Linked DNA regions of Drosophila melanogaster. The gene in region 2 interacts genetically with the main gene of each other region. Each region holds a gene or a part of one and is shown on either strand. Other genes may lie near its edges. The genes, in order: pnt and Sur.

Region 1 (4,873 bases), on a different chromosome or scaffold from region 2:
TAGCTATAATTTTCCTGTAATGGGCATTAAATGCCCTATTTGCTGACAATTTAAGGACAGCTGCTGGCCAATTGAGTTGGCCTGTTGGCCATGTGTTTTCCAACTGCTGAAATGTGAAGTTTTTTCTACTAGTTCTCCGCTGCAATGGCATCATGCAGTCACGCACACAGGCGCATTCATTCATAAAAATCCGGCTCACCTACACGAGTTGTAAGATTCCAGCGCAGTGGAGAGAGGGAGAGAGAGTGGGAGAGCGGCGCGCATGCGCTCTTTGAGTTCTTTTTTTTCGCTTGCTGCACTTGTCGCCCCCTTTTATGTTTTTCAGTTTTACCTCTGCGGCAGCAATTAAGTTGCAGCAGAGGTTGACAATCAGCCATATTTTTATTGCACGTGTTTCGTTATGCAAGGCTGGTTAAGTTTTTTTTTTTTATGTGTACATATACGCTCCCTTGGCCGGGAAAATCGGGAACGCCATCAAGTTTTGTTATCCCGAATCTTATTGCCCTTTTTCTGGGTGCAGCTGGCCATTTGACTGCCGCCCCTGCACTTGCATTCACTTATGCTGTGTAATTTGTAATTTATGCGAAATGCGTTGCCGGAATATAAAAACATTGCAGTCGTTTCAGTTCCATATCGCCGCTCTCTGTCGCACACACTCTCCGCACACATAAACCTGTTTGTGTTTTTGATTTGCGCGAAAGAGAGAGAGAGAGAGAGCCTTTCGAACGCACAGTGGTTGTCATGGTCACGGTGGGAAAATATCGCGCTTAACTTTTTTTGGGGTGTCCAAAAGTATTTTCCCAAGCTGCAGCTTTCCCACATTGTGTGCAAACTTTAATAATGATAATAATAAGTTGATAATTTAATCTCACATCAAAATTTTCATATAGGTATTATTTCATATTAAATAAATATTTTATTAATTATTATAACAAAGAAACTAGTATAATTTTCCTTTTAAATAAGCTGGAACTGATATTTTGACCAATTTACTTTATTTGTCAAAAATATAGATTTGTATAAAATCCAGAATCAAAATAAATAAATTTTTATATCAGTGTACACAATTGAAAGACTGAGACTGCCAAATTTTAAAATATTTGTCTTTATTATTCCGCCCCCTTTGCATACTAAATATTTTAAATATACTAGTGATTTTGGGCACTGTTTAAATGCTTGCCAAAAACGATCGCCCGCACACACACACACACACACATACACGCACCCACACACTCTCTCGCATATTCGCACTTACACTGAGTTCTGAGCAAGCAGATTTTTTTTATAAATTGTTGCTATTTTTTTGTCGCTGCAAACACTTTGTTTTTGCTGCTCGAAATATGTAATTCTGATTTCCATTTTTTTCTTGCGCTCATGATGCACGCTCTAGTGCGAGTGCGAAAGAGATAGCGAGATTGAGGATCACCCACGCCTTTTCGTTTTCATTCCAGCGATCAAGTAAAATAGCGAATAATGTTTATAAGTCAGATTGATATAACTCTCGATTTTCATATTATTTGCCATTTTTGTTATCACTTGCCAGAGCAACACAAAAAAATATTAATCTTAGCAGCGGAGAGAAAGAGAGAGAGAAACGGAGAGAGAAGGTGCGTCGGCGTTGGCGTCAACGCTGCGTCTGCGCCAACGTCGGCGTCGCTGCCGCCTGTTGCCAGTCGGTCAGTCTGTTTTTGTCTTTCTTTCGGGAAGCGTGCACTTGCGCTACGGTAAATTCGATTTGAATGAATTATACGAATCAAATAACAAATAAATAACAAATGCAAAACACTTTGCAAGCCAAGCAAAAACCCAGTGTGTAAGTGAATGAGTGCAATAGCAAAACATCTAAAGATCTGCGCGCGCAATATACATCAAAAAAAGGAAGGCAAACAGCAACAGAAAAAAAAACGCGGTTCAGAAACACAGGAAACCAATTTCTATATACGAAATTCATCATAAAACCACAAAAATCTCCTCAAACATCGCGTGAGAGTGCCTGAGTGTGAGTGTGCGCGCGCGTGTGTGTGTTTGCCAGCGATCCGTCGGCCTTTTTTCGGTTTGTTTCTTTTCGCGTCTTATAAGCCGAGCTAAACCGATCCCCGATTTCTTCTCGAGTTGTTCCTTTCGGTTTTTCGTTTGTCTTTGTGCCCGGCACGTAATCCCTCTCTCTCTCCCCCTAATCAACCTGCTGATCCCACCGGAGGGTTAAAACATACACATCTATACAGCGTGATAGAGAGAGAGAACGAGCAAGAGATAGTCATCGGTGCTGCGGAGTCCATCAAGATTGTGCGCCTAATTTGAAGCTGTAATTAATTTGGATACCCTAATAAAAAGCCAACCGAAAGACGGTCTTTAGAATCCAGAACCCACAAACCAAAAATCAAGAGCCCAGTAGCCCCCGCCTTCTTGTTCACGAAGGGGCGCTATTTTATTACCCCGCACCGGTAAGAAAAGTGAAGTGTTGAAAAACAGTAGTTCAAGTATTAGTTTTTGTTATTTTCCCTACACTCGAAACAAAAATCCAGCGAAAATTAAAAGACAAAACAATTGAAAACAAATAATAAACCATATATCTCTTAATTGCTGTTGATATATAGTTTTGAAATATAACTTTTAAATCATATTTATCTTAAAAATATGAAATTTAGAGAGTTTCTTTTGAGTGCATGTAAACCCTTTTTGTGTTGGTGTTGCCTGTTTTCTTGAATGAATCTAGGAGAAAACTGGTTTGGCTACCGCTCGGTAGATCCGCCGATCTCGCGATCTCGCCTCGATTCAGGATTGCTGCCTCTATAAACTCGTTGTTGGCCAGGCCAACAGAATTTGAATTGGTTTTCTACTCGGCATCATAGCCAAGCTAGTTAGCCGCCAGTGTGCGTGAGTGTGTGTGTGTGGGGCACTTCCACAACCCTTGTGGGAAACACGCTCGAAATTACTACTGTTCCTTTTACAGCTTCCGGTGCGGCAAATGAGCTTCGCCTGCCCCACGATCGCGTTTCGGGCCATCAATCCAAGGGGTTTGGTAATCGAGAATGTGTGAACGGTTTTTGGTTAGGGTCAAGAATCTAGCACAGCGATCGCATTAGACAATTAAGTATCAATAAAACTGATACCGGAGTGCTACTCTTTTGACCTTTCGGTTTTAAAGTATGTATAATTGGGGCTTTCCTGTTCTGCACTTTGGGTTACCTGAAAGGGTTTTTAAAAGGATCTTACAATTTGGGATGTAAATTAAAGTAATTATTAATACAAAAAAGATCAAAGGATAGTTAAAGGCTTAACCGATATCATATTTTATAAAAATGTTACCATTAAAATGATTAATTTTACAATAAGATTTTGCTTAGATCAATTGTTATTATTTCTATGATAAAACTTGATTTACGTCCTTATCGCAGTCTTAAAGCCAAAAAACGATAATTTAAGGAGTTACGATCATTGAACTACTCTAAAGACATGTTTAATATCCCTTGGGCTATTTAAAAAAAACCAATTTGCGAGCAAAATACACAAGGGAATGATAAGAAATTATTGCCATAATCGATAATTTGATGTGTGACGATCGTCGGATCATAATTGAGCCCAGCTACCGCCAACCGCTCCTCTCCCTTTCCCTCCTCGAGCGTCTGGTCCGAAATGAAAGACCAGTTCAAGATCCTTTTCCATAAATACCCACAGACAATTACAGTTCAGTGGATGTTCGACGGGCTGGTTCGTTGCCCCATGCCACGTTAAACTCGGATTCTGTGCCCGGACCGATGCTAAAAGTATCAACCTGCTGCAGACAGGCCGAGATCAAGATCGATCCCATGACAAGACAAGACGACACACTCGCACAGATATGCCACACACACAGATACTCCGCACACATAGATATTCCGCACACACATGCAGTTCGGACTGTTCTGCGACAGATAGAACAACACATGTGTACACAGGCAGGCATCCCGAGGATCATCAGCGGATCGGAGATCCCTTCTTTACATTCAGCGCGAGGAAAAAAGGGCCAGGCGCTGGGAAAGAAAAGAGCAGCGACTAAATGTGTATTCTACCGTTACGTACACATCGAAAAATTGCACCCCTATTTGTTGCCGCTGCTGGTGTTTTAGTTGTTGCTGTCGTTGTCGTCTGGCCGAGGAGTGCGCACCATATCAAAAGATCATATTCGTTTACAATCTGTTCTTTAAGCATCTGCTGCGCCCAGACTCTCCTCCAGACATCAAAAACTCGGACTGCCAGACATCTTCCACTCGTTTGGTCCACTTACTATGGGCCAACCCAAAAAATTTTGCTCTTTTCCAGGGAAAACATATGCTCCGATTTTCGTTTCAATTCGATTCGTGTGGTTTTTTGTTGTCGCCCTCGCTCTCCCTCATACATACGTATATATAATATTTTATTTTATTTTATTTTTTTTTTTCGGTTCGGTTATCTACGTGTCGGGGCGATAAGGTTTTTTGTTCAGATAGTTTTAGCGATTGCGACTCGTTTTTGGCACCCTGCCGAATGATTTTTGGTGCTCGAAATGCTGCGATTTGAAGGCGGTTTTTGAAAAATGTGCCACTTTCAAACTTACGCATTTGTTCCTCGATTTTCCCTCTGGACTTATCTGCATTTGAGGAATTTATTTTCATATGAATGATTGATTGGTTTCAAAAAAAAAACTGTGGAATTCGCGAATCGATAAGGACAATTGTCAAGTCACTTTTAATTAATTGACTAAATAAACCCAAATTAATCTCTGCCACTTGGAGGCACAAGTGTTATTCGCACTGGCTTATTTACTTAGTTAATCTACGTAGTATGTGCTTTTACGATTATTGTAATTGCTGCGACGATCGCTTATTTTCCTTGTCTTCGGAAAATAAACTAA
Region 2 (4,881 bases):
GAGGTGTTAGCCACCAAAAACAGGATTTCGAATAAAATGTGGCCATGGAGTGTTTGTAGCCTATTTTGCCATAGTCATCCAAATAGTCGTCGTGATAGCACTGTGGGTTGGAAATTTGTTGTTAATTCAGTTAATTCTATAAATCACGAGAGTCCTGCGACAATTGTTAATTCGAAAAGCACACACACAGCTAAATATTTCCGCTCATCCACACTTTTTTGTGTATTTAAATATTCAACTTGAGCCTTCATTTCCTACTTTGCCTGTTAGCACGGGACTCATCATGTTGCAAAGCCACAAACTGGATGGCAAAAAAAAAGAAAATATATAGAATAAACATCATAAACATTTTCGCCAAGTATGAAAGACATTAAGCTGAAAATCACCACTTAACCCCAATTAAAATTTAAACATGCAACAACTCGCATAGCGATTTTTGGCTTCCTCTGTTGCGCCAACTTGCATTTATTAGCGCAGCATTTAAATAAATACGTTTTGGCCATTGAAATAAACACATTATTTAAATAAAACAATGGAGTAGTTTCCATTCGCTTGGTAAGAAGGAATTTGAAAATTTTAACTTGAGTAATACTATTAAGTTTTAGAACAATCTACATTGATAACTCCTTATAAATATTGTTTTTAAATGGTTGGATTTCAGGTAAATAATATTTAAATTTAATATCCATTAATCCATTTTTATTCTTTAAATACTACAAAATCTCCTAGTAAGCTTTAAAGCCATAGATTGAAGATATTTTTCAATAAATGCTCACTTCTTTGTACACAGTTAATCCGTCCAGCATTGCCAGGGACACCATGCACATGGCAGACATGGCCACCAGGCACGTCTGCAGCTCCAGGAAATCCTCGTAGCGAACCAGCTCGAAAAGTTCATTGGAGAGCAGGGCAAATGTCAACGCCTCCACCGCAGTGCTGGCATACAAAAACACTGAAATTGGCATAAAACTAGATGAGGGAACTTCTCTATTGGCCAAAAACTCACCTGTCGCCTTTTTGCGCTCCACCATTCGATGGTAGAGCATTAGCATGAGGGTCAGCAAAGTGGAGAAGAGCGCATTCCACAGCTCACCCGATCCAATGACAACCAAATAGTTGAGATCCCTGGGACTCGACTGGAAAAGTCTGTTCAGATTCCGAACATTTTGATGGGGCAAAAAGATTCTGGCCAAATCAAAGCTATTCAGGGCCAAAAGGAGTAGGGAGATCGCAGCACGTCCATTGTGGAACGTAAGCAATGTTTTATGGCATCTAGTTTAAAAGTTAAGAGGTTTATATAGATATGGATATCATCTATGATCATATATCACATAATTTTATATGGAAATCCCTCCAGATCATTTCTTACAAAGATCTCATATGGAACCACTTCAGCATAATAAATCATAAAAATCATGCAGCTAAATTTCTATAATTAACTGCAGTGTAAATAAATTCAATAAATGATATTGATTTCGTGTTCATCCGCATATTTATTTATAAGAATCCGCCCTTAAAGCAAAGTGCGTTGCAGAACCAATTGAGATTTACCCATTTGAGATACATCCCATTGAGAATACTTTGGCACGCGATGCGTTATTTTTTTTTTCGAATTTGGAATGCCAAGTTGATTGTTTTTTAATTTCGCTGCGGGTTGCATTCGATTTTCAATGCACTTGAAGTACGGATATCAATTATGGGATTTTGAGTGAGTTTCCGGAACAAAATAAGGGGGAGATAATATATTTTATTCTAATTCTATATGTATAAATAGTTTTTCCTGTAAGGAAATACCGATCTTTTGACCTTTAGAAATTTCCGAGAACAAGTAACAATACTTCCTTTTTGGTCATAAAATTTTCACGTTTACTTTTTGTTTAAACAAACAATTAGCAACAGTCGATTGTGTATGCAAATGACTTAAAGTGCGTGCAAAAGAATAAAAATTAAGCACTTAAAATATGTTTTATGTTATCTTGGGCCATAAAATGCTGTCTGTGTGATTTCTAAATGAGGTAACAAACTTGAGCTCCCTAGTCATTTCTCCAGAATTCGTTTAATCTACAAAACGCATGTGCTAAATTTAAACAAATGTGCTCATTTGCTTCTCAAAAATATACGTATACATTTGTTGAATTTATTTACACTCTTATTTTGGACCTAATTGAGCAAGGAGTAAACTGGACATCAAACTTCTGATGATAATCATTTGAAATCCATTACATGTGACCTTATTTTCGTTTAAGAGCTTTGCACAATTTCAAGCAAAAAATCGCTTGCTCTGCTGTAAACAAAAGAAGTACATGTTTACACTTGGGTCGAAAATAAACAAATAAAAAAACAGAGCGAAATTCACTATTATTTTAGTTTAAACTTGAAAGTGTGTCAATTCAACTCTGGCCGCCCAAGTTGCAAATATACACATATCATATATTTAAATCCCGCAAATGAATAAAACTCACTTTTTGTATCTACTGCAAACAAACATCAATCCGAAAAGTAGCAGAAAAATGCTGAAAAACGTAAAAACACGCCGCACACGGTCAATGCCACAGATATCTGTATTCAAATTGTCATAAATGGAGCGAACATGCCCATTCAAGTGATCACAGTGTATTATATTGAACAACTGCTTCATGATGGCCAATAAAACCATGAACTTATGGCCAAAACGCTTATTGAACACTGCAAGAAGTTTTCACTTTTCCGATTTCAATTTAAAATCATTTGTATTTCGCTCACTATTAAATCGAGTCCATAGGCAGCACTTTGAAAACTTTGCGCCCAACAGGTTGAGCAGCAAATACAGAATCGCTCAATATAAACAAACTATTTCGCAATCGGGAATATGCAGTGCAATGTGTGTTATGCCCGATCCAATTCGATATATGTACATATATATATATGTATGTACATATGGATGGTACCACAATGGATTTCGTTCCAAAGCGAGAAGAGCGCGCCGCGTCCCCGGTTGCCATTCAATTATTATTATTATTCTTTTTAAGTAATTTTTGTATAAACAACACACAACGCAGAGATATGTGTGGCGCACGTTCGGCCGCGATTAAGAAATCTTCGCGAGAAGAAAAGGCCAACCGACTCCGACCGAGCGTGGCGGCTCACTAACCACACTGAGCACATACATTCTCGCCAGCAGGAAAAACGACGAAGTGCCAGTCAGCCCGAACTCGAGAAGATATTGCACTGATCTGAATCTGAATCTGAATCTGGGGGATCGCGCACGTGCGCGATGGGAAAAAGCTCTTCCCACATCGCCGGAATCGTGGGGTGCCAGCCCACTGATACCATCGACCCATATATGATGCACTAAATCAACTCGAAGCGAACCAGAAGTTATAAGCAATTAATAAATAGTTTGTTAAACTTTACAATAAGCAGAGAAAAACGTTTTATATTCATAAATCAAACTTAGTCTCGCACCTGATTTATTTTCTTAATCTAGAATGCCACATTAGAAGAATGGTTTAGTTTGAATTTTGTAAGAGCCTAGAATACATTTTATAAATCTGTTATTCCTAAGATTTTAATTTTAATTTGTTGTGCAATTATAACAATATGCTTAAAGATCTCATTTCTAGCCATAACTCATATCATTCTTTGGATTTAGATTAATTAGGGGGGGAATATCATGTATCACTGTTTCAAAAATTTAATACGCATATAAAGCCTTCGGATCTAAAAAATCTTCTGTGCAGATCTCTGGTTTTCCAAACTGATAAGACTGTCTGAAGTTTAACTTATGTAACTTATCTTATTATAACTAATAAACTCCTTTAAACTAGCTATCAGCAGTCAGCGGTAGAAACCAGCTCCATAAACGACCTAGACGGAGGAGAAGTAGTCGCAGCTGCCGCACATGTCGTATAGTTGTCCCGAAGCGGGTTCGATGAAAAATCGCAGGGCCTGAGTGCACTGAAGTTCATGGCTGGCGATTTGTTGTTGCAGCAGTATCTGCAGCTGTTCCATGTTCGCAGAGTGCTCGAAGCGGATGCCACACTCGCAGATGAAGGCACCTTTGTGATGGCGTAGGTTTTTAATCTGACAAACTGGGCATAAAACCTCCTTTTGCTGCTCATCGGGCTCTGCGTATAGCGTTTCCAGATTCTTTTCGCCCAGGGCATACCACTCGTTGACATCGGATAGTAGCTCCTCCAGAATCAGCTCCTCAAGCTCCACATCCTTCTCTAGCTCACTGAGTTCCAGGCGCAGGATTTCCCTGAGTTCGGACTGAAAAAATGGGTGGTTTATGATGGGCTTACTATGGAGATTTGTATGTCCTACCAATTGGATTTCTCGTTGGGCATCCGTGCATCTATTGCGCGTTTCTATGATGCGCTTGCGGTATTTCTACAGGGTATTTATGTGTAAGTATATTGGTACTTTAAGGGGTACACTGATGTCTTTACCTCTCGCAGCATTTCGCGAAGTCTTGGCATTTGGTTGCCCATCCGCTGTCTTTTGGCCACTTCTTGAGCATGCCGCTTTTGCTCCACGGAGGTGCGATAAACCGGGCTTTGAGTGGAGTTCATTTCGGTTTATTTGTATATGTGGTTATTTTGTTTGTTTTTAATCTTTTTTTTTAACTAGATATGGTAGGTCAGTGTCGTCAATAAGGCAAGGTTCCAATTTTATAGCGCTGTTGGTGATTGATAGTGATCTAAAAAGTATACGGTATTCAAAATTAATTAGGTAAATTAAGTGAAATGAAGTAAATGTAAGATACGACTCATCTCCACATATATATAAAAGATTATAAAATAAGTAGTATTACTTAACACAGCCCATGAAGACAGCTCGCACAATGAATTCATGAACTAAGGGCGGCTTAAATACACTATTAACATGTTTAACCAACTT

What was found.
Region 1: of Sur (region 2) and pnt, changing one enhances a phenotype caused by changing the other (phenotypic enhancement), as found in Drosophila melanogaster (one study listed by BioGRID).

Annotation. Positions count from the first base shown.
Region 1 is NT_033777.3:23,342,969-23,347,841, reverse strand, and holds the start of pnt (pointed), read left to right. Parts: upstream 1-1,674; 5' UTR 1,675-2,444; intron 2,445-4,873.
Region 2 is NT_033779.5:10,195,986-10,200,866, forward strand, and holds the start of Sur (sulfonylurea receptor), read right to left. Parts: upstream 3,133-4,881; 5' UTR 2,639-3,132; coding exon 2,463-2,638; intron 1,273-2,462; coding exon 1,007-1,272; intron 953-1,006; coding exon 777-952; intron 101-776; coding exon 1-100. Other genes in the region: Ripalpha (RPA-interacting protein alpha), read right to left, coding at 3,847-4,251, 4,306-4,371, 4,431-4,553.